Cricetulus griseus: one gene and its partners. The protein of the gene in region 5 interacts with the protein of the main gene of each other region in a pairwise test. Links are inferred from orthologs where the notes say so. Each region holds a gene or a part of one and is shown on either strand. Other genes may lie near its edges. The genes, in order: Ndn, Kifc3, Skil, Nme7, Nefl and Usp2.

Region 1 (3,863 bases), on a different chromosome or scaffold from region 5:
AGGATAAAATAAAGGATAAGGTGCTCATAAAGGATTTGGTAACGATGTTTCATTCTGTTAAGTGCCCACCAAAAACGTCAAAAAAAAAAAAAAAAAAAAACAGGGAAGGGGCAAGTCACTTCATAATACCTGTTATTAATTATCCCCATGTGATGTGATAAGATACTTTTCTTTGATTATTACACCCCTTAAATGTCAAAGTCTTTGAAGTGTCACCAGTTTGATTAAATAGAAAAATAAAGCTGTAACCCTGAGTGGTCTTGGGTAATGGTTTTCCACTCTTTTAGTTGAACACCATGTTTGTGCATGCTGTGCATGGGCAGATCTTCCTCATTCCCTCCCATCCCAACCCCCCTTCCCACAAAATAAATACCCCCCCAAAGAAATTATTCCACAAGGATCTTTAATGCTCACTTCAAAGTTTATTTATGGTGGGGTTGTATACATGTTTGGTAGGGTGTGCTAAGTGCCTACACTGAGAACATTCCAGTTCAAATCAGTCCATTCCACAGGGATGCTTCCTGTGCCAGTTGAGTTCATATAAGAGGGCCCTTGACCTTTCTCTGGTCAGGCCTGCTTTGCTCACCTCCTAACTCTCCTGGGCTTTTATGTTGATACAGATCATCACTTTCATACAAAGAATAGATACACAACATCTCAATGGATTTCACAGGTTCAGCACAGCACATCTCTTGTACAAAAAAGCACAGAAGTGAAAGCATCCACTTGCTTACTTGTAAACGCACATGCATAAATCCTTAACACGCTCCAAGCGAACACAAATGAATATATTGCATTGAAAGGTACAAAAGCACTGTAAGGAAAACTTAAAGGTTACACATGAAATACTGCACTGTGAATGTGGAATACTCTAATGACCCAACCCCACCCTTATACAGCCCAAGTATGGGTCAGAAATTATCAACATGCTGGGGACCTTCCTAATCACCAGAGACACTGCTGCGGGGGCAGTGGGCAGCAAGATTAGCCTCCCGCAGAGCTCTGGCCTGCTCCAGAGCCTCTCGGTAGCGGGAGGGCCAAGCCTGGGGATCTTTCTTAAAGACCCTGGCCAGGAACTCCATAATCTGCATCTTGGTGATTTCACGGTTGGCTCTGGACCCCCAGAAGAACTCGTACTCAGGAGGATCGCTGTGGGGAACAAGCTGGTACTTCAGGTAATTCTGCTGGACGAACTCCTCGGTGATAATCTTCCTCACGTCTCCGAAGGTGGAGTGCTTCTTCCAGGGCCTCAGTCCCAGGATGTGCAGCACATTCCAGACGGCTCCCTCTCTGGCCCCGCGGCCCTTCACGTAGATGAGGCTCAGGATCATGAGCAGGAGGCCTGTCATGGGCATACGGTTGTTCAGCGCCACTCTGTCCAGTTCTGCTGGGCTGAGGGCTTTGACCAGGGCGAACTCCATCGTGTGGATATTGGTCAGCCTCAGGTGCAGCCCAAAAACTCTGGCAAGGATGAGGCTGGTGCGCCGGAGGATGCTTCTGCACCATTTCTTGTAGCTGCCCATGACATCTTTCACCATGTCTGGGAACCAGAGGACCATCCTCTTCTGGTCCTTGACCAACACGTACCACATGAGCTCGTGCGCCTTCTGCACCACCTGGGCCGGGGCGGGTGGTGTTGGCAGCTGACGGACCGGGCTATCGGGATTGTGGGCGCGGCCCTCCTCTATGGCCTGCTCCAGAATCTTAGGGTCAATATCTTCTAACCTTTCTGGAGGCGGCGGCGAGGCCTGCCGGGCTGCCATAGGGCCTTCAGGAGCTTCTGGTGCCTCTGCGACGATCGCGGCTGGAGATGTGGGAGGAGGGACCCCCACCGGAATCTCAGAGCTCTCCTGCACCTCGGAGTTGGCGGCATCAGGTGCAAAGTTAGGGTCGCTCAAGTCCTTACTTTGTTCCGACATGTCTGCGCCTTCTGATCAGAGCAGGACCGCTGCGACTTGGAGCTCTTGGAACCAGCACTCCCTCAGTGGACACCAGCAGAGGAAGTGCGCTTTACTGAGAGCTGTGCCTTCCGCAGCAGCGGCCGGGCGGGGCGGACTTGACACTGCGCATGCGTGTTGGCAAGCCAGAAGGGTGGTAGGGCTGGATAGGAGCTGAGATGCAAAGCCCAACCACTGGGGTCTGAGGGAGGGTACCACTAAACTAATGGGAAAGATCTCCAGGTCTCCTGGGTGAGCTAGAAAGAGATGGTGATGGGGAAGGAGCAAGTTTAAGTAGAAAGATGCAGCTGAGATGGTGAAGTCAAGTTAGAGCACCTTTGAGTTTTTGTGTGAAAGGGGGTAGACTGGCTAGAGAGCTTGGACTTTCTACAAAAGAGTGAGACAGTAATGAGTTTTTGATTTTTTTTTTTTTTTTTGGAAGTGCGAGCATTGTGAAGATAATGTGATGTTTAAGATTGGAATGTTGAAAAATTAATAGAGCAAATCTTTACCAAACCTGAGTCCAGATCCAATACGGAAGAATATAAAGTGTCATTACAGACACTGGAAATCAGCCCAAGTGGAATTTGAATGTTTTGGAAGTAATAAAATTATATAGCATAATTGGTGTGTGTTTAAACATTTTTTTATTGGGATGGGAATTGGCTCAGTCCATGGGTAAGAGCATTTGTAGTGCAAGTGTGAGAACCCTAGTTCAAATCCCTAAGACTCACAAAAAATGTAATGGCATAGTCTGTGTTTGTAAACCCTGCTCTGAGAGGTACAATTAGGAGAATTACAGGCATTTGCCAGAAACCAGCCCAAGTTTAGGTTCAGTGAGAGATCCTGTCTCAAAGGAATAGGGTAGAGAACAATAGAGCAGGATACACAACACCCTTCTCATAAATTTGCATACACTTACACAATATACACATATAATTGACACAAATAAGAGTTTGTCTTTATACACAAGCACAATATGCAGTAAGCAAACTTGCATAATTAACACATATATCACTTTAACCTTTAGGGATATTTAAAATTCCTTTTTCTATCTCCTTAAACATGTATAGCTGAGTACACCCACTGCACTTTGTTATAGTACACTACAGAATATTGTTCCTAACTATGTTCTTGTTTCAGAAGGCAATCTTTATCCTCCATGTTCCTTTCACAGCCTTTGGTAATCAATTTTCTACTCTCTACTTATTTGATGTCATGTCTCCCTCATTTCCACAAATGTTGGAGATCAGGAAGCTTTGTCTATATATAGCCCTTTTCACTTCACACAATTCCATCAAGTTCATACATGCTGTCACAAGTAATAAACAATATTATATTGTACATGAGACATCAAATTAGTTATGAGAACAGTATATATACATATTATGTATATATACATATATATGTGTTAACACATACATGAATATACTTGTATGTACAATTATACTCATATATGCGTATATATGTATATATAACATTTTATGCATTCATCCATAACTGGATGTTTAGCTAGTTGATTTACAATTGTTTTAATATCTATAGATTTCAGCTTTCCACATTTATTGGGTCACTTTGATTTCATTTATATTTCTCCTTAAGATATTAGAGAAATTTTATGATAGTGTATTTTCATGTTTCCACAGTGCCATTCTTCCTTTAATTATTATTGCTACATCCTCTGAGTTTATAGAAAATATTCAACTCTGCTAAAGACTAGTTCCATGTTGGGAGCACAGCTAAATACTTGCCAATATATTTTAAGTGAAGTTTCTATTAATAAAGTATAACAGTCTTTCATAAATGAGGTGAATCCTATTGGTGACGATTTCCAGAGTATAATTAAAAGGATTGAGAGGAGAAAATCTGAAGCTAACAATCCCTCAACCTATCCGAATTACAATGTCCATTGTTGAAGGCCCCAAT
Region 2 (4,692 bases), on a different chromosome or scaffold from region 5:
CCTCCTCTGGGCCTATCCCACCTAGCTGGCCAGATGGTGGCCATTTTGAACCCCTGGCTGCCCATTGCTCAGCCAGACCCTACGTGAGCCCCAAATCTAGGTGGACCAGGACTCATGCAGAGCAGGCACTAGCCCAGACTCAGAGGAGGGAGTGACCTCCAACAACAACTACAGCAAGTTCAGACACACAGACTCTCCCTCACACTGCTGGCCTTGCCCTGAGGCTGCCTCCTAGGAGGATCTTTCTCTGTGATCACTGGCCTGAACTTACTATGGAAAGCCTAGAGGGCCTCAAAGGGGCCTGGAGAACCTTCTAAAGCCAGTCAGCCCTGGGTGCCATAGCAGGCAGTGGATAATGGAACCACAAGCTGTTTTCTGGACTTGAAGGAAGGGAACAAATTCCTGCCCTTTAGATCCTCTGACTAGAAAGACACAGACTGGCCTCTGCAGCAGGCACCAGTGGCGTCTGGGAGGCTGCTCCTGGGCCCTACTTTAGATGGGTGCTTGGAAAAGACAAAAAGAAGGGAAACCCAACCCCAGCCTCCAGTGGCCAAGGTCTCTTATCACTGGGTGGAGCCCTGGTGGCCCTGGGACAAGGGGCAGGACAAGAAAGAGGACAGATACATAGCTGTCCCTGGATCTGGATCTGGATCTGGATCTGGAGGAGGCTGTCTAGGGTCTCAAGTTCATGTCAGGTGGCCAGACTGGTTGAACCACCTCCAGCTGTGGGGCAGAATACCATACAGCTGGGACCCCACTCCATCCTGCACCAGCTCAGCCAGGTGTCCTGCACCAACTCAGCCAGGTGTCCTGTACCAGCTCAGCCAGGTGTCCTGCCAGGTGTGCAGCCAGGTGTGCTGATGGTGGGGCTGACCTCCTTTACCTGTGTTTTCTACATTCATGGTGCCACCAGCTTCTGGGGCCTCCCGGTCCCGCTTGGGGGCCGGCGCCTGCCTCTTCAGGAGCTTGTCTTCTTTCGTCCCCTGACTCTTGCTCTTGCACCCCTTGTCCTGCAGGGCCTGCTGCCAAGACACAACCAGAATCCTCTCATGAAGGGTACTGTGCTGAGGAGGGACCCTCGCTGGGGATGATGAGCACTCTGGTCCCCGGCCCAGCAGCTTGTCTCCACCGTGGACAAAGAAGCCTGCCTGGGATCTGAGGAAGCCAGACTAACATCCCACAGGAAGATGGCCATGGTTTATTCTTGGGCCCCACAGTAGCCAGTCTCTCTACCAGTAAAAAAAAAGATTAGAAGATTCTATGGTCCCCTAGTGAAGCTGGTGCTATCCCTGCAGGCTCTGTGGGGCACGGGTCATCGGCATGTGAGCAACTGGCTCACACCAAGCCTCATCATCACAGGCAACTATCCAGTCCTGCAATATACACATCATGTCGTGTATAGAAGGCAACTCCTCTGTAGTGTCATTTGCTGCAACACCTTGGCAGTCGGCCTTCCACCTAAGGATGGCCCTCCCAGGACTCAGAGGCTGCACATGAGTCCATCTGACCAGGAAAATGACTACCCTGCCTCCTTCAGGCTCTGTCCCATGAGGCTATCCAGGGGCAATGTGAACCCATGTGCTGGTCAGGAACTGAGGCAAAGGTAGCTGGGCTGGAGCGGACAAGTGGGGGAGTGGGAAAGGGGTGCTTCATTCAAAGACATCCTCTGTAGCCCCCAGAGAATGACACCGAGCAAGGGTCAGAACAGTGTGGGAAAGCGTGATCCCATTTGAGGGTCATACACAAGATAAAGGTGAAAATGAAACTGGAGATCTCACAGGCTCCGTGTGTGCTCAGTGTGGGGTGTACATACACAGAGACTCACTGAGATAGAAACAAAAGCAATTTAAACTTGGAGAACACAGGAGAAAAGGCAAGGTGATGAGCAGACAGGGTCTTCCTGGTCATTCTGGAGACATCTGGGGTTTGAAGTTTTCACCTTATAAACACAGTTGGGTTTGGTTTATGTCCACGGAAACATCTGGTAAGAAGCTTTTATGTCTTTGTGCCCTCTCAAGTCAAGTATGACTCTTTTATATACACAGGGTCTCACTCTGTAGCCCTGGCTGCCTGGATCTTACAGAGATCTATCTGCCTCTGCCTCTGCCTCCTCACTACTGGGATTTAAGGTTTCTGCCAACACTCTAGGCCAGGTGCCACATACATTTCTTTAATGCTCAGGGTAGTAGGGAAGCCAAAGCCCAATGAGACAGCATGTCACCTGTGTGCTGGGTGGCTGTGGACAAATTCTGCACCCTCCCTCAGTTTCCTTCCACAGTCTCAATCTAGAACCACTAACCTCTGCCCACTTGTGCCAGTGGGCAAACCAATGGCAGCCACAAGTAAAGCACATTTAAGGTGCCTGGCCTACAAGAAGTGCCACATAGATAGCAGTGGTGAGTTTATAATTTCTCTAGTCTCCACTTACTTGAGCATCAAAAGGCCAATCAAGAGAATTGCAAGAGTGAAAAGTGGCCGGGGCAGGTGCCTGGTTAGCCACGACCTTAGCCTCTTTCCCCCTCATCTTCGTATTTAGGAAAATTCTACTTAGTTAAATTTTGTCCCCACCCTTCAACTGTCACACCATCTTGAGCAGGTTGGAGGAGGTGGGGGAGGCAGGGATGGCAGCAGCTGGAAGTTTCCATTTGCCTTCAGACAGGAGCAAAGTTTACACTATTTCTGGGCTGCTGGCCGAAGCACAGGAAGGACAGATGTCCCCAGGGGCTGGGAATTTCTGTACTGCCTCTGGGGGTACAGCTCAGGCTTTAGCTGATGGACCAAGGCTGGAGTGACTGACTCTGTGACCTGCAGGTCGCTTCACTGTGCTTGGGACACACTTTGTTACATATCCATATCCATAAACATGGCAGAGTTCGGCAGGGGCCGGAAGGACATGAACTTGGAAGCCAGAGGCTATCAGCTTCTGAGTGGAATGTGAGCAGAACTGCTGAGCCCAGGCCTCCATAGCAGCCACAGCCCAGCACCCCATAATCAAAGCTCAAGAACAGGGCCACCACCCAGCTGAGCTGCAGCTCCTCACCACAGCCTCCCGATTTAACTTCCCTCTGGTTTCTTTAACTGTTGTCTCACCAGACCCTCTGGGACCTCACAAAGGACAAAAGTATGGGCAGCTCAGCTCCCAGAAGAATCTCACAAGAATAAAGAAACACGGTGAAACACAGGCTGTGGCTGAGGTGCCATCGCCCTTGGGGTCCTGCCCAGAGCAGTGGCCCAGGGCTGCAGCAGCCAGAGGAAGGACAGCTCAAAGGTGTATGTTCCCCCAGTGCCCATCCTGACTACCATCTATCTGCACTTGCTTCATCCCGGCTATGCACAGCGGCCACTTAGGAGGGCAGGATATGTGCATGAGGCCAAAGAAGCTGGGAGAAAAGCCAGGCATGGTGGCTTATGCCTCCTACCACAGCATGTGGGAACATGAGGCAGCAGTATCTGCCATTGGGTTCCACACCAGCCAAGGCTACACAGGGAATCCCTGTCTAACAAATATAAAGAAAGAAGCCAGAGGGATTTTGAGTCCTCTCTCAGGGAAATCTGGGCAACACCCCCAGATAACACTGGCACTTCATTCTCTAAAGTTTTGTTCCTGGTATTCCCATTGGTGCTTATGCATTTGAGGTCACTGGTGACTCTCTGGTGGGCTATCTTCCCTATTTCCCTTCTCATCATCCCTGCACCTGTGCTAGATGCATTGGCATAAGGCAGCCAATCCATAAATATCTGTTCAGCAAATGCACATATTAAAATACTAATGCAGGAGGACTGAAGAGACCACTTAGCAGGTAAGGGCATTGGCTGTTCTTCCAGAGGACTCAGGTTCAATTCCCAGTACCCACATGGTGGCTCACGACCATCAGTAACTCCAGTCTGAGAAGATCCAATACACTCTTCAGGCCTCCACAGGCAGCAGATGTACATGTGGTACACAGACATATATGCAGCCAAACACGCATATAAAAATAAAAATAAAAACAAATCTTAAAAAAATACACTAATGTAGCCTGTACTATACAGGCTATATAGCACCATCAGAGGAAGCCACCTCAGCTGAGAAAATGCCTCTTTAAGATCCATCTGCAAGGCATTTTCTCAATAGCCCATGTTGGATGAGGCTGTCCCTGGGCTGCTGGTCCTATAAGAAGGTGGGCTGATCAAGCCATGAGAAGCAAGCTAGTAAGCAGCTGCCCTACAAGGCCTCTGCATCAGCTCCCGTTTCCAGGATCTTGCCCTGTGTGAGTTCCTGTCCTGACTTCCTTCAGTGATGAACAGTGATGCTGAAGTGTAAACAAATAAACCCTTTCTTCCCCAACTTGCTTTTGGGCCATGGTTTTGTTGCAGCAATAGAAACCCTAAGTAAGACATGGGTGCTAGAGAGATGGCTCAGCCCTTGCTGCTGTTGTAGAGAACCCAGGTTCTGTTCCCCGCACCTGTATGGGAATTCATGTTGGTAACTAGTTCTAGGCCTGAGTGTCTGCAGATCTGAAGATCTATAGAGAACCTAGATTTGGTTCCTAGCACCCAAAAGGTAGTGACAGGGATCTATTCCTTCTGGCATCCTCAGGCAGCAGGTACCAGGTATGCACATGGTGCATACACATATATGTAGGCAAACAGTCAAACATAAAAATAAATCTAAAAGCAAACAAATGCCATACCAAACTAATACAGCTGGGC
Region 3 (5,447 bases), on a different chromosome or scaffold from region 5:
TACAAAGCTATAGACACAGAATTAAGAAGCCATTACCACTATTCAAAATCACTACTTAAAAAAAGCAAACTTGCCTTTGACTGGGTTCTCTTTCCATTTCTTATGCTAAACTTCTCTTTCATTTCTTCTAAAATTATCTTCAGTTTCTTTTCTTCCGGTGTCCCTAGGTATTTTTGGTTCACATGAAGGTAACAGTGCCACTTGGCTGATTCAAAGCCCCAGTGGCAAGTTCTCTTGTCAGGTGATCTGTGAGAATGCATGACAAATGTCTGGGGTGCAAACATTCCACAGCACTCTAGACACTGGATACAGGGAGCATCAGGCTGGACATAAAACTGAGGTGCAAAGAGACCCTGACATTTGCCCAAGCATTCATGTTCTACTTCAAAGGCACTGCCAGTTTCCTTTAACTGGGCCAAAGAGTTCTTAGCAGGAAGTATGCTACCATTTTGAGGAAAAGTCCGAGGCCGCAGTAGAGCATTACAGAGTCTTTGCGCATCAGTCAATGTGATCAGCCCACAGGATGGGGCATTGAACGGAAGTATTCCTAGGACCTTTAAGATATGAAGCTGGTCTGAAGTACACCTTGAACAATATATGTATAGCTCATCACATACTGTGTTTATTTGCTGGAGTGAAAATTCTCGGAGAACAGAATTTAAGACTTGGGGCAAACAGAGTCTCTTTTCTCCTCCAACTTGAAAACAAGAAATAGACTCCCCTTCCAAAACAGTCTGTGTGAGCTCTGTGGAGCTATCAGAAGGAATGAGAAGAGGGCCAGGAAGAACCTGAGGAGATGGAAGAGGCAGGAACACAGTCGGCGACATGCTTTCTTGGGAGTATCGGGCAGAAAATGCTGCTGGCCCACCCAAAGAGCTCTGACTACTTAAATGGAATTGTGCCAGTGTGTGTTTCAGGCTGGGGTTTAAATTTAAAGTTTCGGGGATGGAAGTACAGTTTCGTTTAGCATGGTCTCTATCTGTCTCCACTGATACATCTCCATAGTCATCCAAATGTTCCTTCTTCACCTTGGTCAGCGTTTTTCCACTGGCATGCATGTCTGTCATCATTTTCTTCACGGGAGGGCTGCCATCATCCTCCATTCCATTCAGTTTTTTATTTGAACCCTGAACTAAGGAAAAATTGGACTGTAGGTTTTCCATGGCTACACTGGTGTTTTAAATAATTAAGTCTGCAATTGGCATGTTGTACTCAGTTTCTAATTTGAAGAGAAAGGGATAATGTATACAAATACTTATGGCTCCCTTAGAAATTTTTTTAGTTTGCAAAGATGAATTTTCTTTCTCGATAGATTTGTGCAACTTTTTTTTTTAGTTATACCTTAGGAGATAACCGAAAATACTACAAAACTTCTCATTTTGTATCTAACAATAAAGAATATAACAATAAGCAGACTTCTGAGGAAAGTCTTGTTTTCTTGAGTTCTTCAGATATTTGTATTAAAAAAAAAAGGCTAATTTCTGAATTCAAGATGAGCAAGGTTTGGTGTAATGGTAGAGTTTGGTGGTCTTGTCTTTTAAGCAAAGCATTGGAAAGTGTATGCCATTACTATATCCTAAAACCACACCCAAACAGGAGTTGCAATGATGCAACGGTTTAATTTTTGCCAAGGAAACCAAAGGGGGGGGCGCTAATCTTCACTGAAAATGGTGGTCTGCTGCTGTGTGTCCACAAACTGAAGACTTGTCTAAACCTCCAACACCAGTAAGAATCTGAACTTCTATAATCCAAAAAAAAAAAAAAAAAACTGCCCAGTTATCTTCAAGGATTACAGTTCATTCTTCTTTCAATTGACCTGGAGAAGAGAAAGGGTGGGGAGAGTTACAACTCAATATGCTCCAGAGGCCAAAGGGTCACTTTAAAACCAGTTTCTTAATCTTAAACTCAGTTCACTTTACCAAAGGTAACACTTGAGTGATTTCCTTCAATCAAACACGAGTTATCTAAAAGAAACTTCATTTAAATAGGAAGCAGCCCAGAAGATGGATAACAGGAACATTAAATAATATCCCTCCGAACAAGGAAGAGCACAAATTTAGAATACAAATAAATAAAACTCAGTACCAGAGGCTTTCTCAACTATGCCATTTTAATTAAAAAATTAGCTTTTATTTCATTTTAAAAAATATGTGGTTCCACCCTCCAAAAGAACCAGATACATGTTAATATACCTACCATATGTAACCAAGTTAGTCTCAAGTGGATTAATTCATCTAGTCAATATAAACTATTTCTGAAATTAAGGAAAAAAAATAAACTTTCCCTTTAAAAGGTTAGTGAATTTGCTTTAATGGAAGCCAAAAGCTGTAAGACTCCATGCCTGGAAATCTCCATCCTTGAGCAAGACTAATCCGGGACAAAAAAGCACAAGGCAGACAGACCTCACAAAGAATGCAAATGGAGGCAGAGTGGGGGAAAAAAGAAATCTTTTTCCACTCCCCTCGGGAGAAAATGCAACGAACGCCGATAAATAAAAACCTTTGCTTTCTAAACTCCCCGCGATTTACGTTTACACAAACCCAAAGGATGACCGCCGAAAGCCATCTAGCCGCCGTACTGTGACTTTCGCCACTCCAGGGACACCTCAGCCAAGGCGAGCCAAGGGAAAGGGCAGGAGGTATGACCTAGCCCGGGGGCGCACCACAGCCCTGCGCCCACGCAGACACCCACCCATCTTCAACCGAAGGGAGGTAGGACAGGAAAGCCGGGGACTCCGGACGTCTGGCGAGGTGAGAGGGGGCAGAAGGAAGTAGAGGGAGGAGTCCTCCCAACCCCCACCCGAGACTGGGATCACCCCAAGTGCCCTCCCCACATCGCCCCACTGCGGGGGCCGCCGATGGAAATCCCCACGCAGCCGGTCCGCGGGAAGTTCTCTGGGGTTACCTCGGCGCCCCAGGGCTGTGCCACCCACCCCCTTCACCTACCCCCGAGCCGTGGCACCCAGAGGGGCGCGGGCAGGCTGGGCGCCAAGCCCGGAAGCCCGCAAGCCCGAGTCGCCGGCCGCTCGGAGCTGGGGCCAGCCCGGGGCATCCCCGCGGAGCTCAGACGGCCGGGGGATGGCGGCGATGACCGGCGTCCAGGTCTCCCGGGTCTCGGCCGCTCGGGTCAAGTGCAGCGCCATCCCCTGCCAGCCGACCCGTCCCAGGACCCGCGAGGCCTGTACACCCGTGGGACCCCCGCCGCGCGCCCTGTGCCCGAGACCCCGCCCGGGACCCCACGCATCCCGGACGCCCCCACTCCGGCCCTCCGCACCCCGGGGAGGTCCAGGGGGTCTGTGGCCTCCCCATCACCCCCGCCGCCGCCTCAGCGTCCCCAGAGGCCGCACGCCCCTCTCGTCCCCTCGAGACCTGCGGCCGCACCTGTGCCCGCCGTCGCCGTCGCTCGCCCGCCGCCTTCGCTGTGCCTTCGCTGTGCCGGCGCCGCTCCGAACCCCACACACATCGCTACACACAGCCTCTGACGTCACCCGGCCCTCGGCCCGCCCACGTCACTGCGGAGACACGGCTTCCCGCAGACGCCGCCGCCGTCTCCGGCCGCCCGGGGGACAGCGAGGGCGGCGGAGGGGGGGGGGAGAGGAGGGAACGAAGCCAGCGGCGCCGCGCGGCCCCGCGCCAGCCAGTCCCTCGGGCGCGCGCGCCGTCTGGCCTATTGTGGCTCCTCCTCGCTGGCCGCGCGGTTCAGGCTGCGCGCTCGCGTCCCTCCAGCCCCGCCGGGGGCGCGCGCCCGGCGGCCTCAGCCGCGCACGCGCGTGCGTCTGTTTTCTCCCCCGCCCCCTCCCCCTACTCCCCGCTCCGGCGCGTGCTCCACGCTGCTGGCTCGGCGCGCCGTCTGGGCGGCTGGCGCACGGCGCTGTCTGCGGTGCCCGGCGCAGACAGGATGTTCCCTCGGCCCCACCCCCGCCGCCCTCCTTCCTTCCTCGAGTCGCCCAGCCGGCTGTCTGGGGCCGCCCCGCCACGCCCGCTGCCGTGTGGAGACGGGCCAGACCCGGGGGCGCCCCGGCCGCTGGGCCGCCGCGCGGCGGGGGAGGGGGCAGGGCGCGGCGGGCTGCACTGTGCGCGACCCCGGCAGCTGGCGCGCCCGATCAGGCTCGGCCACCCCCCCCTCCCCCGCGGCCGCAGCTGGCCGCCCGGCCCCGCCCCGGAGGTGGCCTGCGGGCGGCTCCCCGCCGCGACCCCTGGGGTGAGCCCGCCGCGCAGACGCCCCCGCCCGGAGGCGGCGACCCCCGCGCCGCTCCCCCTCCCCCCCCCACGGCCGCCGCGCAGACGTCGCGGGGCCCTCGCCCCTGTGGGGCCTCCTCCCGCCGCCGCCCTGCCAGCTGCCGGCCCTGAGCCCCGCCTGGCCGCGCTGGGGTGGCCTCGCCCGGCCGCCATCGTCAAGGGAGGCCGCCGTTTCCACCCCGCCGGGACAGACCTGGCTGCCCCAGCTGCTCTCGCCCTCCATAAGTGACCCGTTCTAATTCACTGAGCGCTTTCGTTTGGGGTTTTCAGGTTTTTCTTTTCTTTTTTTTTTTCAGAGACGGTAGGAGGTGGAGAAAGATAACCACTTTAGAGCTGTCGGCTGCCACCTCGGGCGGGCGGGCGGGTGGGTGGGGGGAGTTCCTAGCCAACGTACCCAGGAGAGAGTCAGTTCGAATATTCAAGTCTGTGGAGCTAGTCCGTCACATTTCGAAACAGCAAAGAAATCCCCTTTTCTCCACCCCACCGCAGGACCAGGAACTGAAATAGCGCAGACTTAGGGAACTTAAGCTTCGGCGGCCGCGCACCCCTCCTCTACTCCCCCTCCCCCCCTTTTTTTCTTTTCGCCTAGTTACTTATTTTACCGCTTCGGGGTTACTCATGTTTGGGTCCACATTTGCAGCTGTCCAATTAGGAGTACTTTTGTGCTCGAAGATTTTTCTCCTCTCTTCCCCCCACAGTAGGTCTAACAAAGCTCTTCACCGCCCCCGCCCCAGCTCCTGTCGGTCCCCATCTTCGTACTCCCAGGTCATGCCCCTCTCCCATCTCCTACCCTCCGCTCCTTGACTGCTTGCCTGTGTGAACATGAATAATTCCACAGCACTTCCCATCTGTTATTGCCATAGAGACAGAAGCTCAGCAAAGATAATGATGTTCTGTGCAGAGCCAGTGGGGGGAGAGCAGCATCTGCGAGTCTGGAGGAATAGATGTTCTAACCGCCAGAATATTCAGAGGCCTGCCTGGAAAGCCGAGGTGAAAGCCAGCACAGTCCTGAGACTAAGCACCTGGTCACCTTGCACCTGGCTCTGAATGTAGCCAGAAGAAACAAATTTAGAAAGCAAGATAACTGTGTGTGTGAGTGTGTGTGTTTAAGCCATTCTGAAAGTTCAATTAGTGCTAAGTATTTAGTAGTCCTCTTACCACCCATAAAAGTAATTACTTGCTAGCATGGCCAAAGGCCTAAGAAACAAA
Region 4 (5,271 bases), on a different chromosome or scaffold from region 5:
CTTTAAAGATTCCCCATGGAAAGCCTCACCCTCCTTGGGGAGCAGAAAGAGGATGGGATGGGGGTCACTGGGGGGCATGGGAGGAGGGGAGGGAGAAGGAACTGGGATTGACAAGTAAAACAAGCTTGTTTCTAATTTGAATAAAAAATTAAATAATCACAAAGGGAGGAGAAATGCCAGGTGGCTAAGAACACTTGCTGCTCTTTTAGAGGACCCTGGTTCAATTCCTAGCATCCACATGGTAGTTTACAAATCCAGTTCCGAGGAATCTGGTACTCTCTTCTGTCCTACATGGGTACCATGCATACATACTCTGCACTTATGTATATGGAAATATTCATTCTCATGAAATAAAAATTAAAAAGTCGTCACAACAAGACCTTAGCAAGTTACTAACAACACCAAGTAGTTCATCTATCTCAGTAAACTTTGAAACATACACATAATGTTTTCTTAAATTAAATTATTATTTTGTTTGTTCCTTCACAGCTTTTTTTTTTTTTTTTTTTGACAGGGTTTCTCTGTGTAGCCCTGGCTGTCCTGAAACTTGCTCTGTAGACCAAGCTGGCTTTGAACTCAGAGATCTCTGCCTGGTTAATGAAATTATCCCCCCCCCCCCCCCGTTTTTTTCGAGACAGGGTTTCTCTGTGGCTTTGAAGGCTGTCCTGGAACTAGCTCTTGTAAACCAGGCTGGTCTGTAACTCACAAAGATCCATCTGCCTGACTCTGCCTCCCAAGCGCTGGGATTAAAGTAGTGCCCTTAAATCAAGGACAGAAGGTAACTTGGCAAGTGAAATGATGACATCAGGATTTTGTCTGGTAGCTCCTGGGTGGTTGACCTCACGTTCAGGTTAATCAAGAGTAGGAAATTCTTTCTTTCCCCTTTACTTCACAAAAAGTTGCTCACAGAGTATCAATATCTCCACTATGCTGGAGGCATTGAACATTTGAAGTAAAATCTTTTTAAGTTCTTTAAAAGCTTGGAACAATCTGGAAAACCTGCTGAGTCTACTTGTCTTTGAAAACCCTAGGCCTAATACTTTCCCTGTTATACTACTCCTCTGGCTTTTTTCTAATCAGAATAGAAACACAACTCCTAACGGACAAAAAGAGGAGTAGCAGTAATATTTCTGAATGAATTCATAAAAGAGGATGGATTTGATTAGGCCATCAATGGTTTAGGCCCCTTTCTAAGTTCTCGCAGAAGACCTTTAATTAGCTACAGAGAGTTACTTATTACCTCAGAAACGCTTACTTAGTCACTAAGAAATGGACAATGTGCAGATCAAAGACAAGGAGCTGGGGTCAAAGTGCAGAGAGCAAAGGCCAATGAGTAGATAGTTTCACCTTCCTCCTCGGGTTTTCAGAGCTAAGTAGATGAGGAGCCTGGACAGCTGTGGCGGTGACTAGCGTGAATGATGCATCAGATGTGTTGGGCTAAGAGACACAAATGCATCCAATCAGAAAGAACACTTTCTCCCTTGCTTGAGACCTGATCAAAGTCAGCCACCTGCACCTGTGCTACTTTTAATACCTCCCCCCTTGTCAGTTCTTTTTGATCATAATAAACTCTGACAATGCTATGGTTCTTCGCTTCCAGGCTTTTCAGAAATGAAATCAGCGGGGGACCTTTTTATTTGCTGGTTTTAAATGATGTTTAACTCTGAGAGGTTAATGTTTCAGTCACACACTTCTTTAGAGGACATATCTGCATGGCACAGTGCTCCTGTTGTAGATCTAGATCTAGATGAGCCAGTCTTCTAACTTGTTTCCAGTTTATGATGGGGTGCCTTCCTGATCTTTAATAACTGTCATTTAGCTACAGAATACTTATCTTAAGCCTATAACAAATATTTTCATGTTCTATAAGAAGGGCAAATTTAAGAGTCAGAAGGCAAACTAGCTTCTCTGGACCCTGTTATCAAAAGGAAGAGCTGCATCTTGATGACAGGCCACAGCTAATGGAGAAATGGTTGCTGGCATTACCCTGGATTTCAAGGACCTTTGTTTACCTTCTAATCTACCATGGTAAAATCTCAGGAAAATGTCATACTCATTTAAATTGAAGTATCAGCATTACTGAAGACATCAAAGTAAAAATAAAGGCAAGTTATGCTAGGGAGATGGCCCAGCAGTCACGAGTGCATACTGCTCTTCCAGGCCACTCAACTTTGATTCCCAGCACCCATGTCAGGTGGCTCACAACTGCCTATGACTCCAGCTTCAGGGGACCCAATACCTCTGACCTCTGTGGGTAACTACACACATGGCTTGCATGCGCTCCCACGCATGTGTGCACACACATTTTTAAATAAATAAAATTTAGAAAAAATAAAGACAAGCATTACTTATTTTGAATGGAACAGCATCTGGATTCTGCTTATAGGACACAGCAAGTAGAGATGTTTGCTTGTCTAGACAGAACTGCTTTCTGGTCCCTTCCTATCAGCTCAGCTACCTTGCACCTCTCAAACCTCAGCTGCTAAAGTAAATGATCCATGAGTTTCACTTGCTGCCAAGTGACAGGCAACAGAGTTTATATGGTAAGAAGAGAGGTTGGGAAAGAAAAAAAAAAGAGGGTCTGGAGAGCTTGCTCAATGACTAAGAGCACTGGCTGCTCTTTCAGAGGACCTGGGACCAATTCCCAGCACCTACATGGCAGCTCACAACCATGTATAACTCCAGTTCCAGGGATCTAGTGCCCTCTTCTGGCCTCTGTAGGGACTAGGCATGAATGTGGTGCACGGATACATATGCAAACAAAACACAAACACACATAAAATAAAATGAAATGAAATACAAAAAAAGGAAGGAAGGAATGGAGGAAGGAAAACCAAAGGAACAAGTATAGGTCTAGTTGGGAGGTGGTGGCACTCACCTTTAATCCCAGCACTCAGGAGGCAGAGGCAGGTGGGTCTCTGTGAGTTCAAGGCCATCCTGGTCTATAAACTGAGTTCCAGGATAGCATCCAGAGCTACAGAGAAACCCTGTCTTGGAAAAAAAAAAAAAAAAAAAAAGAAAACCAAAATAGCTAGGTCTAGCATAGAGACTGGATTTCTTGCAAGGGAACAGGCTTGTGTTTCAAACACCAAATGCAACTCTCTCTCTCTCTCTCTGAAGTTTCTTTTTCTCATTTCTTCTTAAAAGGACAGTGTTTGAACCAGATTTTTGTGTGTTTTCTATGTGGTGAAAGCAGAGTGAGTTGTACCTTATAGTGAAATTACACTTGAAGTCTTACCTCAGCTGGGGTATAATTTGTAAAAAGCAGCTAAAAACCCTGACACCTATCAGGTGTTCCATGAAAGTCACAACCATTCCTCTTTGTCCCTGGGTAGAGGCTGAGGAGGAGGGAACATCTGAGCATGTGCAGATGGCTAGAGGAGACCCACCCCACTCAGGCTGCGGTAGAGGACTCAGAGCAGGTGAATGAACCAGCTGTTCATTTGTTGATGCTCCAGGGTGATAGATGTGGCAAGAGAGGAATAAAAGGGTGAAGAAAACTGAGCACCCAAAGGACACAGAAGCCATAGACCAGGACTCTGCAGAGGCTCTTGGTCCCAAGGCCCACCCCTCTGTGCTGGGTGGATCTTAGCACTGGACAGATGCCTTGGCTACATGTAGAGAGAAGGGAAACAGAAGACAGGCAGGTCTCCAAGACTAGGACATAAACTTGGGGGGCTGGGAAGTGTTCATGGAGTGGGCCCCATCAGCCCTGTCCTTTTAAGCATCTTCTTTTCCATCCACTTTCAGAAGTCTCTCGTCATGACTTAGCTGCTGACTTGGCTTGACACTGAAGCATTAGATGCCTGGAGTCCTACCATAGAGTTCATTCTACCTTCTCTCCAGACACACACACACACACACACACACACACACACACACACACACACACACACGTACGTCGCCTCTTCTGTTGCCCAGGTCTTTCATATTCAGTCTCTCTCTTACCATCTCTATTTTTAATTTTTCATGTATTTTACAATGAGGAAGGGAACTATCTAACAAGATCAATTTTAAATGGCACCTTTTATGAGACGTTATAAACTGGTATATATACACACACCAGATGTGTATATATATATTTCACACACATTATACACACATATATACACACACAGTAGTTATACACACACATACACACACACACACACACACACACACACTGGTAAAGTGTAATATATGTTCCCTTTATTTAGGATATTTAAATTTAAAGAATGGAGCTTTTCTTAAAAATATATTATAGCCATTTTTAATTCTAATACATTTATTTTTCAATGATCAAAGTAGATTTTAAAAAGATTTTGTTTTCATTTTTAAGTGTGTGTGTGTGTGTGTGTGTGTGTGTGTGTGTGTGTGTGTGTGTGTGTGTGCTGGATGTGTGGCTGTGAGTGCAGGTGCCTATGGGGAGCAGAGGTGTCACTGGAGCAGGAGTTACAGACAGTCGTGAGCTGGGACTCAAACTTGGGTCCCCTGCAGGAGCAGCATGGGCTGAACCGTCTCTCCAGTCCCTGATTTAATCTGCTCATATTGGTTTAACACAAACATTTGTGCCTGATTCTGTCCTCTGAAATAAGTATTATGATTATTATCCTAGTCTTATAATGAAGGATCGAGGTACAAGAGTTTAAACAACTTTCTTAAATATCAAGCAAGTTGCAATTCTGGAGTTTAAACCCAGATACAGTCTGAGTCATGATGCACTCTATGTACTTAAAATATTAGCCACAGAGCTATCCCTTAATGTATTGTCATTACTTTTTTGAGTACAGTGTATTGAATATCTAGCCACTGGAGATTGAATAACTAACATAAAATACAAGCCAATGTTCGCACAGAGCAAAGGCTGTGGAAGAATGGTATTCATGTAGATATGGATTGCTGCTCACAGTAGGACATTTCTAAATATCTGGGCTACTGTGTCCTTTAGACTTCTTAGTGGATGAGCAGAGCATATGTTTCCATTCCTATTCACATTGAATTTCCATCTTTGGTTGAGGGAACTCTACTTTACCGAGTCATTTCTCAGTTCAGAAACCTTTGATGGATCCTGTTTTCCACAGCCAAGGGAGCTACTGTTTGTTATGCATAGAAAAAAAAAAACAAAAAAACAAAAAACCCTCTCATGCTCACCCATAGTGGGCTCCAGCAAACCATCCATAAAATTACATCTGTCTAGTAGTGGTCTTAGAGTCTTACCAATAAATCAACAACTGGCTCTTGTATTTAAATTGTTTAGCCATCTTGCTTTTAGTTTTCTGGTGAAAAAAAGCA
Region 5 (5,342 bases):
TATGCAGGCTACAGAGAACTATCTGAATAGTACTTGACCCTATATGCTGGCTTCGTAAGTCGCAGGCAGCCTGGCGACTTTAGGCTTGAAAGCATAGAATGTATAATCGGGGTGGGCTTCTAATATGGCTTAGACTTAACAGATTTAAACTACCAGCAACCCCGTGGGAGTCCTCTGCTTCAGTCGGTTCCTCTTCCATTTAGGGGACGAGTTATCAGAATCACAGCAAGTGTAAGATGAGAAAAGAACTTGCAGAATAAACCTCACCTCACCCTCTTTTCGGTTTCCAGAAGCGACCGTGCACAGCTCCAAAAACTTCACTTCCCTATTTGAAAACCGTTATCCATACTCCCTTATTGGGCCATTTAAAGGAAACAGTACGCTAGTGGTATGTTGAACAAATTAAACAAAACGCCAAATGCTTACTTCAAAAGCGGTTTTAGTTACTTCCAACGAATCTGAATCTCTGCAGTATCTTTTCGAAACTGCAGGAACTCACAGCTTGAGTATGAAAGTGCTGCACTCATGTGCGTTTGGCTTGCCCACTCTGGTATCTGGGGTATCTGAGTGCTTCCCGAAGGAAGTCCATAGATTCCCTATTGCATCTGTTACCTATGAATTTCAGCCGGCTATTTATTTTCATTCCGCTTCCAGGCTGAATTCTTTTCCTAGGAGACCACACCCAGAGCTGGCAGCTGTTCGCAGCAGCGGTTTCTCCCCTCAAGCTTTAAGAAAAAAAAAAAAAAAACCTGCCACCTGCATGGCTTGTCGAAACCATCAGGTTGGGGTACCACACAGGTGTAAAAGAGGGGAAGAGGCTTTTGATGCGAAAGAAGCCGGAATAGATCAGTGTGCACACGGGCACCCTGAAGTTCTTGCGCTGCAGAGTGCGTCTTTGCCTTGCAAGTCTTTCTTTGCCTGATTTGTTTCAACCCCATCCCAAGCATTTCAGGCTTCATTCCCCACAAAGAAAGGAGAAATTTTATGAAAGGTGCCAGACAAATTAACTGCTTCCTGTAAAGGTTTTAAAATGTTAAAATGACCACCCGCTGTCCTGAGGTCTCAAGGGTGTTTGGTGGGGCATGTCCCCCATGTGTTGAGAAACGGAGTGATAAGGCAAAATAAATAAAAGGAGGCAGGAGAAAGGGAGGAGAATATAAGAAAATGTCAGAAAATAGCTACAAAGACATGCAAAACTTTCCTGCAGGAATGTCGCATGGACGCTACCCTCAGCTATTGTCAGTAACCTAACAGCCCCAGACTCAACACCCGGCTACGTAAACACAAAGCAGGATGCTTAAGAGGGTCCCTGGTGGAGAAAGGGCGAGCTAAGGGTGGGGTGGGGTCAGGGTGTCTTTGAGACATTGGATATTAAAAATTGATGTGTCAGTTTCGGGAGCGAGAGCCTTTTATCTGGAACATTTAAAGATCCGAGTGATTGAGGGCTTTAGGTATTAGTAGGCAGAGTGGGCTGGGGGAGTGGGAAAGGAAAAGGAATGAACAGGGAGGTTGTGGGGGTCTCATAGAAAGTGGAGGGTCTCAGAGCAAAGCTGCCAGGCGGAAGCCGCACTTCGCCAGCTGCCTGTCGCTCGCCCCCGCCCTCGCTTTTGCGCAGAATCCTCCCCTTGGCTGCTGCAGCGCACTGCCCCCACTGGCCTGCGCACCGCGATCGATCGCAGTCTGCGTCAGAGTCCTGGAGTATAAATAGAGGTGGCAGGACCGCGCCGAGCCGCACACAGCCATCCATCCTCCCATTTCCCTCTTCTTCCCCGTTTTTCTCTCTAGGTCCCCCATCTCCGCTCCTGGCCGGAGGGGCACACCGGCCGCCACCATGAGTTCGTTCGGCTACGACCCGTACTTTTCGACCTCCTACAAGCGGCGCTACGTGGAGACGCCCCGGGTGCACATCTCCAGCGTGCGCAGCGGCTACAGCACGGCGCGCTCCGCGTACTCCAGCTACTCCGCACCGGTCTCCTCCTCGCTGTCCGTGCGCCGCAGCTACTCGTCCAGCTCCGGCTCGTTGATGCCCAGCTTGGAGAACCTCGATCTGAGCCAGGTAGCCGCCATCAGCAACGACCTCAAGTCGATCCGCACGCAGGAGAAGGCACAGCTCCAGGACCTCAACGATCGTTTCGCCAGCTTCATCGAGCGCGTGCACGAGCTGGAGCAGCAGAACAAGGTCCTGGAAGCCGAGCTGTTGGTGCTGCGCCAGAAACACTCAGAGCCGTCCCGCTTCCGCGCCCTGTACGAGCAGGAGATCCGCGATCTGCGCCTGGCGGCGGAAGATGCCACCAACGAGAAGCAGGCGCTGCAGGGCGAGCGCGAGGGGCTGGAGGAAACTCTGCGCAACCTGCAGGCGCGCTACGAGGAGGAGGTGCTGAGCCGCGAAGACGCCGAGGGTCGGCTGATGGAAGCCCGCAAAGGCGCCGATGAGGCCGCGCTCGCCCGAGCCGAGCTGGAGAAGCGAATCGACAGCCTGATGGACGAGATCGCCTTCCTGAAGAAGGTGCACGAGGAGGAGATCGCCGAGCTGCAGGCTCAGATCCAGTATGCGCAGATCTCCGTGGAGATGGACGTGTCCTCCAAGCCCGACCTCTCCGCTGCCCTCAAGGACATCCGCGCTCAATATGAGAAGTTGGCTGCCAAGAACATGCAGAATGCCGAAGAGTGGTTCAAGAGCCGCTTCACGGTGCTGACCGAGAGTGCCGCCAAGAACACCGATGCTGTGCGCGCTGCCAAGGATGAGGTGTCCGAGAGCCGCCGCCTGCTCAAGGCTAAAACCCTGGAGATCGAAGCATGCCGGGGTATGAACGAAGCTCTGGAGAAGCAGCTGCAGGAGTTGGAGGACAAGCAGAACGCAGACATCAGCGCCATGCAGGTATGGCACGAGTTCAAGCACAGTGGGGGCGGGGAGGCTGCACAGTCCGGGTGCAGGGTGCACCCAGAGAGTGAACGCTAGGGGGTCCTCGAGCCTGGAGCTGCTATCAGAGGGTTTGGCTTCCGGGAGGTTGTGGAAAGGGTGGGGCACTTGGAGGGGGCGGGGCGCCACTGCGGCTTGCTGTGTTCTTAGGGATGGGTTGGGAGGAGGGGAGGAGGGAGTTGGAGTTGGGCGTGGCCACTAGTCTGATGCTTACTCTTTACTGACCACTCAACTCAAAGTTAACCTGGCACTTTGTGGATCTCCTGGTTAATAAATACAGTGGCTAGCTCTCACTAGTTCTGGATCACCCAGCTTTGGAATAGTTTTGTTTTTTAACAGGGACACTAGAATACAGTCAGAATATTTAAGCCAATTATCGCAACCTATTTATTTATTTATTTATTTATTTATTTATTAGTCCTCATCTTCAGGGGAGTAGAAACAGAGTTGTGGAAAGCATGTGACCTGGCTAAAAGACAGAAGTGTGACAAAGGGTTTCTTTCTTTCTTTCTTTCTTTCTTTTTTGTTTTCTTCCTTTTTTAAAAAATCAATTTGGTATTTTTTAGACATTTTCCCATAACCAATAAACTAAAGAAAATTTAAAAAGTTGTTTACATCAGTCCACCTTCCTCCCTCCCCTTCTCATGCATCACTAGACTGAACATTTTAGGCCATAAAACCATGCAGTTATTTTAAGGGAGATTTTATTGAAGGTGCACACTCTGGAGTTAACTGAAGCTAGTCCTTACACCAACATCACAGTAAAATAAAAGCAGTAGAGATTTGTGTTTTGAAAATCTAAAACAATCTTCCAACAGGACACTATCAACAAATTAGAGAATGAGTTGAGAAGCACGAAGAGTGAGATGGCAAGGTACCTGAAGGAGTACCAGGACCTACTCAACGTGAAGATGGCCTTGGACATTGAGATCGCAGCTTACAGGTAAAACTGGAATGGAGCAGGCAGTGGGCATGGCACCTCAGAAAAGATCAGATAACCAGAGTCTGGGCAGAGTTATGTTGAATCACAAGTGTTCTAGAGTAGCCCTACTTTGGAGTTCCTCCAAGAAGGTACAAACATATAATGAATTGACCCTGAAGCAATGTAAGCCCTCTTCTTAGCATTTACATCTTAAATCTAATAGGGCTCCATAGAAGATTTGGGGGGGGCATGGTCTCTTGTGAAATCTCTATTAAATCGTAATTATGCCTAACCCTGCTTATTGCTGTGTTTGCTTTTGAGGTTGGCAACAGGGGAAAGTGATGCATGGTGGGCTTAGAACAAGTCGTGAACACACATCCAGTGTGGTCTAACTGTACCCTTCACCTGCCCCTTCTCCCCTAGGAAACTCTTGGAAGGTGAAGAGACCAGGCTCAGTTTCACCAGCGTGGGCAGTATAACCAGTGGCTACTCCCAGAGCTCGCAGATCTTCGGCCGCTCTGCCTACAGTGGCTTGCAGAGCAGTTCCTACTTGATGTCTGCTCGCTCATTCCCAGCTTACTACACCAGCCACGTCCAGGAAGAGCAGACAGAGGTGGAGGAGACCATTGAGGCTGTCAAAGCTGAGGAGGCCAAGGATGAACCCCCTTCTGAGGGAGAAGCAGAAGAGGAGGAGAAGGAGAAGGAGGAGGGAGAGGAAGAGGAAGGCGCTGAGGAGGAAGAAGGTATACAAAGACAAAACCCTTTAGAATTCCTAGTGCATACTGGCTGTGGGTATTCATTGGGAGATGGATGAGCTATGGGGCTTTGCCTACTACCTAGGGAGTTCTTTGTGAGTTTTGCAACAATAAAAGATACACGTGTGATGAGGACACACACATTTAATAAGCATCTATGAAAAATTGCAGAAGGTTCATATTTTAACTCTTGGTGGTTTAGAGAGGAGATAAGCTCCCAGCACCTGGAAGTTATATCCCTTTATTTAAATACATGTCTCCTGCCAAATTGTTCACCACAAGCACTGTCTGTAACGTGTCCTTCGGGAGAGTGGGGCAAGAGGTTTATAGACACACTCTGACAGTAGTGTTTAGTAACTTATAGAGTATGTGCTGAAATGTTCTGCCTGGACTTAACCTAGATTCGGATCTTGTATTTTCTTCTTATGTTCAAGCTGCCAAGGATGAGTCCGAAGACACAAAAGAAGAAGAGGAAGGTGGCGAGGGTGAAGAGGAAGACACCAAAGAATCCGAAGAGGAAGAGAAGAAAGAGGAAAGTGCTGGGGAGGAGCAAGCAGCTAAGAAGAAAGATTAAGCCCCTGTTCCCAGCTTTCCAAGAAAAAAATCTCCCCAAATCAGGTCAACCTCATCACCAACCAACCAGTTGAGTTCCAGACCCTATACAAATTAAGAAGTCCATATATGTATAATTCTGAGATGACTTAGGTTGGGCATTCAATGTTGTGCTATGAATTTTCTCCGTATG
Region 6 (3,800 bases), on a different chromosome or scaffold from region 5:
ATTTTGTTGTTGTTTTTGTGGTTTTTTTTTTTGAATTTTTAAAAAACTTAGGACGTGGGGCTGCCACAGGGAAGAGGGAAGGGCTGTAGCTCCTCAATGCTACATACGGGAGGGTGGACTGGCCAGTTCATAGAAGAGCAAATAGGCGTCGCTGGTGCGCACTTGGCTGGAGGACATGGGTGTGACACTGGAAAGATCAGGGAAAAGTCAGAGCCTGTCAAGGAAGGTCACTGGAGACACAGAGCTGAGTGGCTGAGGTTGGATATGTCTCAAACTTCTCTATGCCAATCTAAGCTCTGACTCGTCCTTTTTTTTTTTTTTTTGTCAAGATTTTTATTATTTTTAAATATGTGTATGTGGTATGTGTGTGGATACTTGCACTGAGTGTAGGTGCCCATGATGGCTAAGGGCAATAAACTCTTGTCCTCAGCAATAGTGGTAAGAGCTCTTAACCACTGTGCTATTTCTTCAGCTCCACCCCCAACCCTTTTTCCCTTTTTGGAGACAAGGTCTCACAGCCCAGACTGACTTCAAACTTGCTAAGTAGCTGAGGATGACCTTGAACTCCTGATCATCTTGCTTTCACCTCTCAGATGTTTGGTTACAGTTGTAAGCCACGGTGGCCACTTGGGACAAACCCAGAAAGGGCAGCATAGTCTTGTGTGTGTGATGTAGCTTTTGGCCTCGATTTTGTCCATTCAAGACGGAAGCCATATGAGGTTGCCTGCTGTCTAGGAGCCCTGTCTGAAGCCCATCTCTCACCTGGAGTCATTGAAAGTGTGCCATTCGCCCGTTACTGGACTTCGGCAGTAGGCTGTATAATGGCCTCCCATGGTGGTTCCGGAGTGATTGGACACAGCATACAGGTTGTAAACAGCATGGTCTGAGGAGGAACCACAGACAGGTGTCAAGCCCTGGAGGCATTCCTGCCCTTCCTCCATTTTATTTCCTATCTTTTCCCTTACAGAAAACAGCTTCTACTTAAAAAAGGTTGAAATTTAATTTTAGTTTGTGTGTGTGTGTGTGTGTGTAGGTCAGAAGGAAATCTTGAAGGAGTCAATATTCACTTCTCTCCTCCTGTGTGGTTTTGGGGTTCAATCTCAGATCTGTATCTCACCGGATCCTTACTTCCCAGTCTTTTCCTAATTTGCTAGCTTCCTCCCGCCTCTGCCTCTCAGCTTCAGGAAGCCTGTCCTCCTGAAGTAGACTCACTGGTGTTTTCTGAAGCAAATTCTCTCAAGTCCAGGTCTCTTAGTGGAAAATTCACAAATGTTGTGAGCTTGCTGGTTCGTATCCTGGATTCCGAGAACCGCTTCAGGTCTGTGATTGTCTCCAGTCAAGGACAAAAAGCCGGAAGAGAGTCCTTGGAGAAGCAGCTCTTCTCAGGAAGCAGGAAGACAAACACAGAAGCCTACACTGTTTTCACCCTACTCTGCTCCCCTCCCCTTTTGGTCCCTTGTCATTAGTCACCCCCAAAAGTCAGGTCCCAACCCTGGGGGGTTAAGGATACGGAGCACCAAGATCTTTGGGAACCTCTGCACAGAGAATTTCTTTATACATCGTTTCCTGGCTCGGCAGCGGTAGCATGTCTGAAAGACAGACAACAGGGGCTAGACCCAGGTGGCCCTTCCCCGTCCAGGCACTGTGGCTGGCTTCTGTCACTGAGGATACTTACTGGTTTTTCATCCCCATCCAGCACATCCTCTTTGGTGAAGAGCCTCATACAATCCATTAATGTCACCTCAGGATAACCTCTCTGGAGAGAAAAAAAAGTCCAGGTCAGCTGTCCATAACCTTGCAAAGCCCAAGAGGGAAGCTGACACGGGGCCACATCAGGGCATACCTTTGCAATGGGCAACGAGAGATCCCAGAAGGGATCGAAGACTGTAGAGCAGTAGCCACAGTCGGTGCAGGTCAGGGAGCTCTTCAGCTGGCCAACAAAGAGATCTGGGGAAGAGAAAGCCAGGGTGAGCTGCACATACGGAGTGCTTGCCTTCCTTTTCTCCCCACTCTTGCCTTGGTTTTGAGAGTCACAGGCAGAAGCAGGGTTCCCTGGGAAAATGATCTTCAGGGCTTCTCAAGCAAAAGTAGGGGACAGCAGACACAGGTATTTTCTTGTCTGTGTACTTACCCCCAATTCGACTGTCTTCCCTCTCCAGATACTTCCTCCACATCTGTCGCCCTTTTTCATCATCACTGGGAACCGCAGACAGGAAGACAGCTGCATTAGAGCTCAAACCCTGATATGCTTAGGTGCTAGCAACTAGAATATATTTATATGCAATATGGTTTTTGTGGTGCTGGGCATGGAACCCCAGGCCTTGATCATGATCCTCACACAGTCCACTGAGTTGTACCCCACAAGCCATCGTTTTCTTCAGACAGGGTTAGCCCAGGCTGGCCTCCTACCTCAGCCTTTTGAAATCTAGGATTACAGGTATATACCACCAAGCCTGGCTTCAAAATCTTCAATCCTGAGGATGTCACTTAGTGGCAGAGTGCTCTCCCATCATGTACAAGGCCCTTATGTACAATCCCCAGTAACACACACATTACTGTCACCAAAATAAAAAAGCTCGTGTTTAAAAACAACAAAGCAAATCTGATTCTCCCCTCTTTGAGAGATCACCACTCTCAAAGAAGTGGTATGCATCTCAAGTTCACAAAGGCTTCACTTCACAGCAGCATTGTCCTCTTACTTACGGGAGGTGATCAAGATTCTCAGGGCTGGGCTTGGGCCTCACAGTCACCCGGTTCACCTCATTGTGGAGCCCATCCAGGAGGAAGCGAAGGAACTCCTGAGCATCCTGCTGACTGAACCCAAAGAAAGTGAGTGAGCAGCATCTACCAACACCCTGCTTGTGCCACCCCCTCTTGGGGGAGGACATGCATTCGAGGCCCTTACTTATAGCCAACAAAGCGTGGTGCATATCTCTGAATCTGGGTCTTGAACTCAGATGGGCTCACCACATCATTGGGGGATGATGTCCATATGGTCTGGATTAGTTTTGCAAATTCTGTTGAAAGGAACAACCAGAGAGAGGGTGGAGGAAAGGTGAGATATTTGCTTTTGTAAAAAGCAATTTTATTTTAGTGTGTGTGTGTGTGTGTGTATGTGTGTGTGTGTGTGTGTGTGTGTGTGTGTATGTATGTATGTATGTATGCTTGTGAGTGCCCAAGGAGGCCAGAAGAGGGTGCTGGACCCCTGGAACTAAACTTACAGGTTGTTGTAAGTTGCCAGACATGGGTTCTGGGAATCAAATATGGTCCTCTGTAAGACCAGATGGCTCGCTCAACTACTGAGCCATCTTTCCAGTCCCAGGATTGTGTACACACACACACACACACACACACACACACACACACACACACACACACTGTACACACACACACACACACACACACACACACACACCACACACACACACACACATACACACAAAACCTTGAGCTAGGTATGGTAGTGCACACTCATGAACCCAAGTTAAGGTAGAAGGATCAGGAGTTCAAGGCCACCTTGGGCTACATGAGACTGTCTCAAAAAAAAAAAAAAAAAAAAAAAAAAGACAACTATCCAACCAACCCATGGATTAATCAAACAATGAACAAACAAGATGGAACCCTGAAACTGGAGTCAGGCATGGTGTTGTATACCTGTAATCCCAACGCTTGGGAGGCTTAAGCAAGAGAATCTAGTGCTTGGGTCCAACCAAGTTTGGATCCAGTTCTGGGTCCAGAATCTGTTGTTTGAGACACGGCCTTACTGTGTAATGAATCCCAACGAATGACAGGCAAAGAAA

What was found.
Region 1: the proteins of Nefl (region 5) and Ndn interact in binary tests that used the Homo sapiens proteins (3 or more experiments, as listed by UniProt). The link is inferred for Cricetulus griseus from reciprocal best matches to the Homo sapiens genes NEFL and NDN.
Region 2: the proteins of Nefl (region 5) and Kifc3 interact in binary tests that used the Homo sapiens proteins (3 or more experiments, as listed by UniProt). The two-hybrid records come from large-scale screens. The link is inferred for Cricetulus griseus from reciprocal best matches to the Homo sapiens genes NEFL and KIFC3.
Region 3: the proteins of Nefl (region 5) and Skil interact in binary tests that used the Homo sapiens proteins (3 or more experiments, as listed by UniProt). The link is inferred for Cricetulus griseus from reciprocal best matches to the Homo sapiens genes NEFL and SKIL.
Region 4: the proteins of Nefl (region 5) and Nme7 interact in binary tests that used the Homo sapiens proteins (3 or more experiments, as listed by UniProt). The two-hybrid records come from large-scale screens. The link is inferred for Cricetulus griseus from reciprocal best matches to the Homo sapiens genes NEFL and NME7.
Region 6: the proteins of Nefl (region 5) and Usp2 interact in binary tests that used the Homo sapiens proteins (3 or more experiments, as listed by UniProt). The two-hybrid records come from large-scale screens. The link is inferred for Cricetulus griseus from reciprocal best matches to the Homo sapiens genes NEFL and USP2.

The regions. Positions count from the first base shown.
Region 1 is NC_048596.1:135,133,948-135,137,810, forward strand, and holds Ndn (necdin), read right to left. Parts: upstream 1,920-3,863; coding exon 942-1,919; downstream 1-941. UniProt on the Homo sapiens protein: Growth suppressor that facilitates the entry of the cell into cell cycle arrest.
Region 2 is NC_048596.1:171,330,551-171,335,242, forward strand, and holds part of Kifc3 (kinesin-like protein KIFC3), read right to left. Parts: intron 1,023-4,692; coding exon 884-1,022; intron 1-883. UniProt on the Homo sapiens protein: Minus-end microtubule-dependent motor protein. Involved in apically targeted transport. Required for zonula adherens maintenance.
Region 3 is NW_023276806.1:119,740,244-119,745,690, reverse strand, and holds the start of Skil (ski-like protein), read right to left. Parts: upstream 3,517-5,447; 5' UTR 3,381-3,516; intron 1,817-3,380; 5' UTR 1,164-1,816; coding exon 75-1,163; intron 1-74. UniProt on the Homo sapiens protein: May have regulatory role in cell division or differentiation in response to extracellular signals.
Region 4 is NC_048598.1:27,936,305-27,941,575, forward strand, and holds the end of Nme7 (nucleoside diphosphate kinase 7), read right to left. Parts: intron 1,438-5,271; coding exon 1,306-1,437; 3' UTR 1,291-1,305; downstream 1-1,290. UniProt on the Homo sapiens protein: Possesses an intrinsic kinase activity. Displays 3'-5' exonuclease activity with a preference for single-stranded DNA. Does not seem to have nucleoside diphosphate kinase activity.
Region 5 is NW_023276807.1:223,081,703-223,087,044, forward strand, and holds Nefl (neurofilament light polypeptide), read left to right. Parts: upstream 1-1,831; coding exon 1,832-2,878; intron 2,879-3,738; coding exon 3,739-3,863; intron 3,864-4,265; coding exon 4,266-4,585; intron 4,586-5,031; coding exon 5,032-5,171; downstream 5,172-5,342. UniProt on the Homo sapiens protein: Neurofilaments usually contain three intermediate filament proteins: NEFL, NEFM, and NEFH which are involved in the maintenance of neuronal caliber.
Region 6 is NC_048597.1:155,789,521-155,793,320, reverse strand, and holds part of Usp2 (ubiquitin carboxyl-terminal hydrolase 2), read right to left. Parts: intron 3,018-3,800; coding exon 2,906-3,017; intron 2,815-2,905; coding exon 2,704-2,814; intron 2,197-2,703; coding exon 2,132-2,196; intron 1,948-2,131; coding exon 1,844-1,947; intron 1,757-1,843; coding exon 1,676-1,756; intron 1,590-1,675; coding exon 1,511-1,589; intron 1,321-1,510; coding exon 1,213-1,320; intron 884-1,212; coding exon 763-883; intron 188-762; coding exon 100-187; 3' UTR 1-99. UniProt on the Homo sapiens protein: Hydrolase that deubiquitinates polyubiquitinated target proteins such as MDM2, MDM4 and CCND1. Isoform 1 and isoform 4 possess both ubiquitin-specific peptidase and isopeptidase activities.